Oryzias latipes: one gene and its partner. The protein of the gene in region 1 interacts with the protein of each later gene in a pairwise test. Links are inferred from orthologs where the notes say so. Each region holds a gene or a part of one and is shown on either strand. Other genes may lie near its edges.

Region 1 (6,273 bases):
GCAAACCAAATCACAGTTTTTCTCTGAATGTGTGTGGGGGGGGGAATAGAAGCTCAAAACCACATTTCAAAAATTTGATTCTAAAGATAAAAAAACATTTTTTTTGGTCTCCTTAATGCCCAGTAAAAGCTTTGTGATTGCAGAACCAAAATTGGTTGATTATTAGTGACTGTTAGGGCTGCACGATATGAGGAAAACTCGCGATATGCGATATTGGTGATTAATATCGCGATAACGATATAATTTGCTGTATATAAACAAATAGCCAAACAACCAAAAACATCATTTACATTTCACTGCAAAGGTTTAAAAATTATACTCCAAATGACCCTTGTCGACGTAGGAGGCAAACATCAAACATAAAAGGGCTCCATCTGATTGATCAACAAGGTAAACGGGTCCTTCCGATTGGTTAAATGCATAAAGGGATTAATTGCATTTGTTCACTATTTCAGGCTGCCATGAGTTTTTTTTGCACATTTGCAGGGGTTGACATAGCCCAGAAATTTGCACTGGCCCACAGGGCCAGTAGTTTTTGAAAGTTACTGGCCCGACACCGCGCACAGCGAGACCCGCCGCTCCGCAGGTGCTTGCAACTTTAGGGGGGTCCGGGGGCATGCCCCCCCCCCCCCCGGAAAATTTTAATATGGTGCAATTTGGTGCATTCTGGTGACATCTAGCACTTATTTATACACTTTTCAATGACTAAAAATAGAGCATATCAAACTTAAATCTGCTCTAGTCTGTTTCAGATGTTTTGAAGGGAGCCCTGCAGTGTAGTAGTTAACACTAGTTAAAAAGTTTTCATGCTGCTTCTAATCACTGCTATTTCACATTTGTTCCTAATCAATAGTTAAGAAGTTTTATTGACTCTTTTGCCCTGACTGCCTTAAGGTTCTGCTTTTTGTTACTGTTGCAAAGTTACATTTACTTTTTAGTTACTTTAGTTACCTAATTAAATTAAATAATTGAAAAATTAAATACAATTAAATTACTGAGATCATTCAGCTAACTAGAAATACTTACTGCTTACAGTGTTGTAAAGAAAAACAAAATTAAGTAGTTTGACCTTATACTCCATTTGAGTCTGAGATTCAGGTATTTGGAGTTGCCTTTGATTCTTTGACATTCAGCTTAAAGCTTAGTGCATACAGTTTCATCTTCAATGCATTCATTAAATATCTTGCTGTCCATAGTACTAATTCCACCCGTCACTCCATCTAACATATTCCTATCTATTCCTGCCATGTCTTCCACATCTCTGACATGCTTCAGTCTCTCTTCAGTGACGGTGTTGGATTTATGATCATCGCGGTGAAAAACCACCAGGGGGCGCGCTGATATGTGTGTCAGTTTAAATATATCTGCCTAAAATGTAATAATAACCCACTGGCTTGTTCCTTCGTTGTTGCTGTTTAACATTGTTTAGTATTGAATTGTTACATTCAATAAAGTTTGAAAAAAAAATTGAGTGAGCGCGTGCCGCATGGTGCTCGGTAGTGACAGCCGCGCGCAGGCGGGAGAGGAGGAGAAGATAAAAGGTTTCCCATAGAAATCCTTGAAGTCTGAACACAGGACTAGCAGAAAAAGTAAATTATGAAGACGAGGTAAATCTACACGTTTTCGCAAAATATACTTTATTGAAAAAGGTGAAAAATGTATTAATTGTTAGATATTTTAGTGGCCCGAGCGGACAAGTAAAAAATAAAGTCTTGTGGTCCGTACTGCTCGAAAAACAGGACCGGGCCAGCGGACAAATGGCTATGTCGAGCCCTGATTTGAGGTAACCATTTATTGCGATTTTCGCCGTCTTTTGCGGTATGCATATTGCACACCTTGATTTCGCGATAACGATAAATTTGCGGTATATTGTGCAGGCCTAGTGACTGTCACTGTGGATTTAGTTTCAGAGATCACTCTGTGGGTCATATAGTTAATATGAACTACTATACATAGGCCAGATGCAGATGCTTCCATTTCTTTGCAATTATCAGCAAATATCAAGTAACTAGACCAGGGGACAGCAACCTTTAAAAGAGCTAATCACGTTGATTTCTCACCGACCACAACTCAGAAGGAGCTGTAGTCTTATTACGACAGTGGTTTGTGTTTATTATAGTATTGTCACTGTTATAAGAAATATAAATTATGGTTTATTCATTCCTAAAAACAAAATGAAATTAGATTTTTTTCCCAAATACGAATGAGTTTCTAACTTTTGACAGAGCTTCCTCTGACTTCCTTTCAAAATAAAAGACACACTGTGCCACATGGGATCATCCCACTGCAGAATATTTTGTACACGTTGTGTAATGTCAGTAGTGATTTAAAACACAACACAACATTGTTTTGTTGGTGCACCACAGCCACCGATTTGTAAACCTAACAAACTAAAATTAAACCAGAGCTAACTAAGTTACTTTACTCATAAGGTAAACTTAAAATCCTTAATTTTCTTCAAATCGACAGTGCTTCTTAGAACTGATTATCTCTGGCACATGGTGCTTAAAAGGCGACTTTGATAAACTACAAAACTGCATTGCTTTATGGCTTGCATTATGGGTATTGTAGTCAAAAACCTTGCAAAGTGATGTGTACTGTGCTTTAACTGCTCGTAAATGACTTTAATAAGATTTGACTTGTCTGACTGTTGTCATTCGTTCAATGTGGCTTTTAGTCCAAATAATAGATTACATTGTACATTTTAAAAACATTTTAAGTTTTCTTCAGAGCCACAATGGAAAGAAGCCTCCTGTTGCAGACCACTGAACTAGACAAATAAGTAGCACAGTTCAAAAACTAAGAGATTTTTCTAATACTGTTGTCTAAAAGTAAGCTAAGCAAGTTAGAAAAAAATGCATTTTAACAATAAAATAGTTATATAACCTGCTAATACACACCTCTGCATGTAATAGACACAATACTGCAGCCCTTAATAATTGCTAAATGAAATATTCAAATACGTAAGTCTCAGGCTGCAGTGAGCACAAGTCAAATGTGACAGATGAGTTATGGACCTTGAAGAGCTTCTTCTGTGTGTGTGTGTGCGCGCGCGCGCCCGCGTAAGGTGTCTCGCGCTGCTGGATGTCGTCATTCAGCAGGTGGGCAGCTAGATCCATCACAGCTCACACAAGTTCATCCACCTGTCCAGTTCATCCCGGGTGTCCTGTGACACCAGCAGCGTTTCCAGCCCTTCCTTCACGTCACATCCTCATGGAACAAATACTTGGGGTTGACATCATCCTTTTCTTTAAATAAATGACAAATCTCCGCCTCGCATTCATGCTGCACACCACAGTTCAGGCCGGCAAAAGTCAGTTGATAAGCGTGGCAACACTTCCTTCATTAGCCAACAGTTGAGTGTAATCCAGATCCAGCCGTTAGCGTGCTGCTAACCATCAGCGACTGATAATTTTGCGGCACTTCACCTTACAATTTGCACATTTTCAACACTACTGATAACAGCACCGATAGTACAAATTAAAAACACGAATCAATGTTTCAATATGCGTCACAACTGTTTTGAAATTAGAAACCGCTAATGTACCCTGCTACATGTAAGCTAGCGCTAGCTCTAATCGAGACTGATAGCGGCGGCATTCAGGAGCAGTCTGGCTCGACACGGCCGGCTTCTCTGCTCAAACGCGGCTAAAAAGATTAAGCTAAACGACGCCAGAGTCCACAATGGCCACATTGTTATTACAGCTGCAAACTAGGATCCACTAATGTCTGTAACGGTTTCTTCAGTCGTGTTTTTGTATTCCCCGAGGGCCCTCCCACGGCCGCACATGGCAGCCCTAGATCATAGATCCAACTCACCTTCCCGGCCACACGGCCGAGCCGTACGATCCCGAGCTTGAAATCCGACATGGGGAGAACGGTCTTGCAGTGACACCGGGAGGAAGTAGATCCAACTTAATCGGAACCGAGATGGACAGCTCGCCGAGGTAGCTCCCCAGCGATGCCACTTTGGGACTGAGCGAGTGGTAATTGACCTGTGTCCGGGTCTATCCGGCCGCAGCCCTGCCTCGGTGACACACCACCACCGCTGGCGCAGGAGAGCCGAGCGAGCTGCTGCGAGGGGGGCGGGACCGGGGAGAGGAACTAGTCAGGGGTGAATCAACCAATGAGATGCGAGTTTGGTGCCAGCAGCGAGTTCATTCAGACCAATAGAAAACGAGAACGTTCAAAGGCCGCCCATTTCAGATATGACGCCATTGAACTCTCGTGACCATGCACAGACATTTGCGCGCGAAATAAAGTGATAAGTAAGCAAATGGCATTGAAACTACTAGTGACCTGATAATCCTATTCTAATTGTACAAAACTAAGTCAGATAGTTTAAAGATGTCGGTTTGCCCTCAACTCAGCACATAGGTTTGCTTTTAGAAATTACAGGTTATTTTTGAGAGCCTTCAGAGATTAGATGACCCAATCTAATGAAAATGTTTTTTTGGTGTTTTTAACATGATGATGATGATGGTAAAATTGCCTTTTTAAGTATTTCTTCATTGTGGTGAAACAAGAGAGATCAAAAAACTAAGTTGTTTGTAAAAGCTTGTAGTTGTGATGTATCATCACATCTATAATCTACATTACAGGCAATAAGCTCCCTCCACTTCATTCCAATGCTGCAGACATAATCTTTGTACGTCTCGTCTGAGCTGGCATGTGGTTTAGAACTGTACGGTGGTTAGCTCCAACATAGCTCACCATCTTTGTCCCACCGCTAAAGTATGGTTGTAAGGGGCTGTAATGGGCTTGTGAGTGAGAATGTACACAGATGGATGATGGGAAATAAGCCAACGGTCCCGCCCACAACTCAGGCAAATTTCTCATGACCCTAAAACGCTACAAGTTTTTTCCATTTTGGCAAAGTGCTGGCAGTTTTGTCTGAAATTTGGATTAGATTAATGACTGAAGTCTATTCTATAAAAGTTTTATTAGTGAGAATGTCACAACACTAAGCACATTTAACATACCTGTACTATGGGTCTTGGACCAAAAGCTTTTTCTTTTATGCTACATATCTGAAAAGGAGCAGTGCCTTTTTCCTAATTCTGCACCAGAGAAAGAAAGAAAAAGAGTCTAATTAAGACAACATAGTATTTATACAAAAGCACAATTGCTTGAACTCTTCCAGTTTTAGAAAGGATAGGATTGTTATATTTGTGATGTAACAGTCATTAAAGTCAAACAAATTCCATCATGATTAACAAACATAATTCATGTGTTTTGTGGATGGGCATTGCAACATAATGCCACCATGTCCACACAAACCCGGCGTGGTGTGCATAGGCGGAGCAGTGGATGTGTGGCCTATTAACAAAACCTACTCTGCTGAGGACATGGATACTCTAGTGAGTGTAAGTAAACTAGCATCTTCAAAACACCTGTTTTTGCTCTATTATTTATTTAGCATTTTACACAAAAACTCAGTTTCATTTTCATTATTATAAAGTTTCTTTATGTTACTGTATTTGTCTAGCCTTGTTTGAATGTCTTCAATTGGGTTTAAACCAACTTATGATTCATCTGGAAATGTTTCTTCAATGTGAACCAGGCTTCCCCAATAACATTTAATCTATTGTATTTAAAAAATAATGCCTTATCTATTTTATACTCATTTATTTAAAAAAAAAAATAAGGGTTGTGCCATGAAAAATGCAAATTAATATGCTTCTTTTGGGGCACACAGCTTCCAGATTTTCACAATAAAACTACTTCCTTTTTTGTAATTCTGACCAGATCTGGTTCAACCAGCTTGTTTTATGTGTGCCTTGACTTCTAGTGTAGCAGCCACAGAAAATTCCTACAACTTAATATAAATTAACGGTAATCCATCTCCACAATTCGAGTTTTTTTAGATAGTTAAGCTTACAACAAGATGAAATTCACAGTGGAATATGTGCATATGCACAACACAAGCTGTAATTGAGGGGAATTTCCTCAAATATTGATTTTCTGCATCAATATTTGAGGAAACTAAGCAACCAAGACGGCATGGTTCCAAAAAAGACTATCTCCTTCGAACAAGAATTAACCCTCTCAAGGAAAAGACACACTCTTTTCAGGATTGCAATGAACACATTCTGGACAAAGAGGACAAAGGCCGCCAGTGTTTTGAAGAAAAACAAACACTGAAAGGAGGCGCTTACATGCAGGTATAACTTAACTCTCACAATGCAGCTTTGGTTCTCTTGCTCAAGCAGTTTAACAGCAGTTAACACATGAAATCTTGTGATCACAAAACCCCCTCTGGTTGATCTCAAC
Region 2 (6,319 bases), on another chromosome or scaffold:
TAAGTGGTGTTGAAGAAAAAAAATGAAAAAGCATTTTGCCAGATTGCTTTTTCATTTTAATGAAAAATGCAGCTTCATTTTGAAAATGAAAAATCATTTTCTGGTGTTGACTTTTATTTTTAATTATGCTACAGAATCACTTCCATAGAATCCAAAACGCAGAACAAAAAATACTAAATTATTAATGAGGTTTCTTTATGAAGCAGATCCTTCATTTATGTATGTGCTCAAGGGGGCCAGCAGGGGGCGCCAGCTGTCCTCTGTTAAGTTCAATATCTGAACGTCCAGGAATTTCTTGGATGACTCATTTTTCTTATCATAGGACTTTGGTATGGCATGATTTGGGTCCTTTCTGAAAACTGTCTTCTCCACATGGAAACTTGCTGTGTACCTGTGAGCTGCGCCTCTTCATCATTTCTGTTCTGTTGCCCATGTCTTGCTCTGTAGATGTTTTATGATGTGTAGAATCAGTGGCGGTTCTACACTAACTTACTCCCTGGGCGAGTAACCCCAACAGCCCCCCCCCGCACACATACAAAATTTGACAACATCCTGTTGTGTTCCCTATCTTCTATTTAGCCATTTTACACAAAAAATGCATGAATGTTCTAGACTCGTATTACAGGGGGACAGGGGGTCATACTGAGTGACACAGGAGCCTAAATTAAAAACACGCATAAGGTTTTGGGCCAAAGAAGATAAACATTTACTGAACACACTAAAGCTAAACTTTTAAACCTTTTAAACTGAACTTTTTGAACATAAATATGAATAAAAACAGGAACATTAATCCAGAGTAACTCAAGTTAAACCTTAAATAACTTATAATATTTTGCTCCCCATAGAAATATATTCTGTCAAAATGATACAAATATGAACATGCTGCAGAACAAAACAAAGAAAACCTGGAAATAATAATAAGAAATAACAAATCAAATAATTCCGTTTTCTTAGCTCTTTTAGCATTTTTTAGAGCTTTTTTTTTAGAGCTGGACTGCTTCATTTTTGGCAATAATTTCTTAATGTGTGACGTCCTGTGTGTGTCTTTGTGAAACATATCAGAGGGATTAGATCTAAAAAAAAAACTTATTGTGAATACTATTTTTAGGTCTTATAAAACATTAAAAACTAAATCATAGAACTCATCAGTATGATTATTCCAAAAATATTTGGCATTTCCCTTAATTTGTGCAACACCAACAGCAGAAATCCTCCAAAAAAACTCAATCCATAAAAAATGGTCTGCGCCCACCACCCCTCCCCTTCCCTCTGATACACTCCGTCTCTATGACGGGAGGCGCAGCTGCAGCTGCGGCCCAGAGTTGATCGTTAGATAGAAAAAGACTCCCAATCACCTGTTAGTGTGATTCACCCAGTCACCAGTGAGTTGCGCCCCCCTCTCGAGTTTTTTTGACTTATGTTACAAAGACTACCGCAAAGAGGTGTGGGCGCAAGTGGTGGTCACGTGCGCGTCGGGTCTGCTGTGTGGGAGCAGGGAATTGTGGGAAATAATCCCCATTGCCTGCTTTTGTAGAAATTGGGTTGAGCACGGGTGTTTCTTCTGCCTAATTCCTTTTCATGTCCCTGTTTTACGTTGTTTCACTCTGAGTTATTTCATCCCTTTTTTTTTTTTGCACCATAAGTGTGAAGAGGGAATAGGATGAAGACATTGTTAAGAGTCTGATGTGTTAAAATAAGAGTGTAAAGTGTCGGCAGCTGCAGGCGTGTCAAAACAATAGCTCAAAAATGCCTCTTTGAATTTAGAAGCACATTATGTGTAACGCAACGGGCACGGAAAATGCCGCCCCCTATGAAGTGCTGCCCTGGTCCACCGCCCATTTTTCCCATATCAAAAACTGCCACTGTGTAGATAACTAAGAAAATACATTTCAAATCAGAAAACAACTTCAATGTATGCAAAGCTGATTACTTTTCAGCCTTTGTTTGAAGGTAGAAACTGTGAAGCTTTGTTGGTATAATAGACATTGTAGAAATATTAAAAATTAGGTACTAACAATCAGTGTTGTGCAAGTTACACGTTACAGATTACTTTTTACTGTTTTTCTAAAGCAAATCCTCTACTTGATAAGATACTGAATCATAAATGTATTGTTTGTGTTCTATGGTTTAGTGGAGAAGTGGAAAAAATGAAATTCTATTTAAGTTTTGTTGTTTGGGAATAAAATAGTAGTACTTGTGATTTGAAAGTCTTTCAGTTTTCATGATTTTTCAGGTTGGAATTTTTGAATAAAGAAGTTCAAACGTCAAGCACAGAGGTGAAAGACTATTAACTGGGATTGCTATTCAACTGAAAGAATGGTTTGTGCATCAATTTGGTGGGTAGGTAACTGCTCAATTTGTTCGGTATCTGATCATCAGGGCTGTGATCAGCCCCAGGAATGAACAAAAGAATATAGAGACGCGTTTTCTACAGGGATAAGAAAATCGGAGTTCTCATTCTTCGTAAACGTTAAATCAACGACTCTTTCTTCGTCTTGATAATCAAAAAAGCTGTCGCTGAAGGAGAATCGGTATTGTCTGGTAACGGCGTGCACGTGTGTCGGTAGCGCGCTCCACCGGAGGCGGCAGCGGCGTCTCCTGGCTGAGATGCTTCAGAGTGCGTGAGAGGAAACACGCGGAGGATTTCTCTCCAGCACCGGGATTGAGCTGCGTTCACGCCTGCACATCCCGTGCCTTCAGCCGGATCAGTCACCACTGGACTGCGTCGTGAGGCAGTAAGGTAAAGAGCAGGATTGTGCGCTTTTTTGACGGGTTCTCGCTTTGCTGGAAGGTTGGAACAGCTCATGCGCTCTCTGGAGAAGCAGAGAGAGGCAGAAGGGAGACGCTGAAGAGGAATTAAAGCTTTCCTGCGCGCACAGAGGATGCAGAACCGTTATCAATTAGATGATCAGAATATTTGCTGATTTACAAACCAAAGCTTGAGCAAAGATGCCTAACAGTTGCACTATTGAATCTCAGGAGTTAGTACCACAGATTTTCCTAAAAGTGCATATATTACACCATAGACTGTATTTAATGCAAATAAAACAGGAATAAAAGGAAGCTGACTAAAGAAGGGCTGTGTTCACTTTTGCTTCTTGAAAAGCTGTTCAAGGAGAAAAAATATCCATTAGATTGGACATAAATCTCATAGGATGCACCTCCATTTCTTACTGTGTCCTTTATAAACACGGGTGGGATTTCTCTGCTGACTTGTGCTGATACTGATGAGAGGGGGAGAGGTTGAGCAATGGAGGAGGAGGAGGAGAGAACATCCTTGGTATCAAGTCACCTTGACAACCCTTCAGAAGCACAGAGACCTGCTTTTTTTCTCTTTCTTTCCAACAATGACTGTACACAGTAGAAGTTGGTTGTTAAAAGTTAAATCTAACACAAAAAATGTATTTTTTGTGCTGTTGTTTTTTTAGGTCAAACCTTAAAAGAATCAGTAACTGGAGCTTCTGAATAATATGATGGAGAAGGTATTGCCATAAAAAAGCAAGCGTAGAGGAGCAAAACTGCCTGTGTTTAGCGTGACTATACCTTTTAAATCTGAGTCCAGCTTGCTGATGCTGAGCAACTCAGGATAAACAAACAGAAGCTCTTTGTTTCATATCACCAGGGCAACATCCTCATCAGAGGAGCGGAATGCGTCTGCAAAGACATGAAATTATTTTTCTTCCAACTCAGTTTGATGTAAATGAAAATGATTGTCCCCTAAAACATAAACAGTTTTTAAACCTAATTAGAGCTTTGTTTTGTAGTTAAAATAACTTTTGAAGCTGTGTCTGCTTACATTTCCTCAAAGGCCACTCTGACATTTAAAAATACCTTTAACCTGTTTTGAAATCCTGTTTGGAATCTGACAGAATTGAGTCTGTGCTTAAAGAACCAGTCCGATAAAAATTGTGTAAACCATGAGCAGATGAATAAGTACCATTGTAAAAAGCTTGTAGCAGGGACGTAGGTGCTCCAATCAGTGGCCACAAGCTCCCTGCTCCGCTTCATACACTTCAATCTGGATCAAAACCGTATGGCTGGATAGCTCCAGTACTGCTCGCCATTTCTGTTGCACAGCTAATGTCAGCTTAGGAGTGTGAGGGCTCCCAGTTTACACTGGGAGAGAGTGATGAATGAAATGGGAGTCGGCCTTCTTCCCTGCAGTCCTAGCCACAACCCAGGAGTGATTTTTTAATTTATTTTTTAACTTGTTCTGTCCAACATTTGAGCGAACAGATGGGAGCTAAAGGCCTTTTGTGTTGGTTTTACAGGCTTTACTATTACAAAAAGAGGTTATGTATCTTCAAATATCCAGGGTGTAAATTTGTGTAAACCCCTTTTTGTTTTTGTTCTGTTTTTTTTTTTTTCTTTTTATATTTATTCGTCACATTTTGTGTTTTATAAAAAACAGACAACAAAAGAAACCACCCCTCTCAACCTTCTGTGGGTGGTTTCTCCCACAAGCTCGGGTCCTCTACCAGAGGCCTGGAAGCTTGAGGGTCCTGCGCAGGATCTTAGCTGTTCCTAGCACTGCGCTTTTCTGGACTGAGAGGTCTGAGATCTTTCCAGGTATCTGCTGCAGCCACACCTCCAGCTTGGGGGTTACAGCCGGAAAATCGTCACCCCAGCCCAGCCCCAGCGCCCGACCTAAGCAGCCCAAAGATCACAACGCAACAGCAGCTCCATCCCTAGCTCCCCACAATCCACTGCCCTCTACAGCCTCCTCACCCCCTCCTCCCGTATCCATATCCCCCCCAAAATGCCCTCCCCACTCTGCAAAAGGGAGGGTGAGTGTATGTGTTGTGTGTATTTGCTGTGTGTGGTGTGCCAACATGCTGTGCGTGGTGTCTAAAGTGAAAGTCAAAATTGGGGGGCGGAGATGAACCGGGATGCCCCCCTCCACCAGACCACCTCCACAAGGCCCTTGATCAGGGGTGTCAAAATATATGGTTGGCCGAGGGTTCAATCTGGCCCAGTCATGAAGAGTAAAAATGATAAGGATCTTTAAAAAAAACATGTTTCTAGTCCATTCCTGTGGCGAGATATGATTTTTTAAAGAAATAACCGAAATGAGCAATTCCACCACTAGGGGGAGCAAAGGAAAAGCAAAACAGGTGAAACAGCATATCTTTGCACGTGCCAAAGGGAAACCTAAAAGCTCTGTGTCTGAGTAGGAGGAGGAGGATGTAGTTTGGTTTCGCACGAGCATCACCACTAATACATTGCTATAAGAATGATCAGTAGTGACAGCCTAATGGCCAAAATCTTGTCAAAAAAAACAACAAAGGTGGAAGTAGAGGGCTGAGCTTTCCAGGAACAATGGAAAGAGTTTTATTTTTTCACGGAGTTGAATGCAAAACCTGCATGCTTTGTATGTCATCAACAGGTGCTCAAAGAATACAACATTCAGCACCACTACGAGACTCACCATAAAGAAAGCTCACCATTTTCAGGGGGAGTTAAGAAAAGAGAAGATTTACCAACTATTAGCTGGACTGACAAAATAAGCATCTGCATTTACTGCAGCCGTGACGTCAGTGATGGAGCAGTGACACTTAGCTACCTTATTGCAAAAAAGTTGGAGCAAACGTCCAAACCATTTTCAGATAGTGAGCTCATTGAAAAATTCTGAAGGCTGCAGAAGTCTTGTACCCCAAAAAACAGTCAACCTTTGCCAGCATGAGTCTGTTAAGGATTACGATTGCAGATACAACATCTCTGAGGAGACTTGGGTGCCAAATGAAGGAATCCAGTCATTTATTGCATTTTTGGTCACTATTGATGAAAGCACAGATACAGATATTGCACAACTGTGCATATTTCTTAGAAGTGTTGAGGAGACCATCACAGCAGAGTTTCTTGAGTTGATGGACACAACAACAGCTGATGACATTGTCAGCTCTCTAGTTACTGCGCTAGACAATGTAAGAGTGAACTGGTCACGTGATGTCAGTCTGGCCACTGATGGCGCCCATTAAAGGTCAGGAAGAAGGCAAGTGTTGCCAAAAAATTCAGGCAGCAAACCAGGAAAAGGCTTTTGGACATTTCATTGTGTTTTGCACACTTGAATGACAGTAAATCTGTTGCTGCACAGGATTTGAATCGTAATATTGATGGCTGGGTGAAGTTTCAGGACAGAAAGAGAGGTTAACTCCAAATTCGTATGTTCACAAATGTTTGCAAGTGTAATTTAGTTAATTTTTCATTGAGTTGCACAATTACATTCTAGGCAGGGTGTTTCCTTTTTTTCCGTAGCTACTCTTGAGTTTATTATTGGGATTGCTTCAGTGTCAGATGTAAAATATTCAGTCTGTGTAAA

The links.
Region 2: the proteins of zmynd19 (region 1) and enox1 interact in binary tests that used the Homo sapiens proteins (3 or more experiments, as listed by UniProt). The two-hybrid records come from large-scale screens. The link is inferred for Oryzias latipes from reciprocal best matches to the Homo sapiens genes ZMYND19 and ENOX1.

What each region holds. Positions count from the first base shown.
Region 1 is NC_019870.2:12,308,313-12,314,585, reverse strand, and holds the start of zmynd19 (zinc finger MYND domain-containing protein 19), read right to left. Parts: upstream 4,101-6,273; 5' UTR 3,871-4,100; coding exon 3,820-3,870; intron 1-3,819. UniProt on the Homo sapiens protein: May be involved as a regulatory molecule in GPR24/MCH-R1 signaling.
Region 2 is NC_019879.2:14,129,926-14,136,244, forward strand, and holds the start of enox1 (ecto-NOX disulfide-thiol exchanger 1), read left to right. Parts: upstream 1-2,433; 5' UTR 2,434-2,740; intron 2,741-6,319. UniProt on the Homo sapiens protein: Probably acts as a terminal oxidase of plasma electron transport from cytosolic NAD(P)H via hydroquinones to acceptors at the cell surface.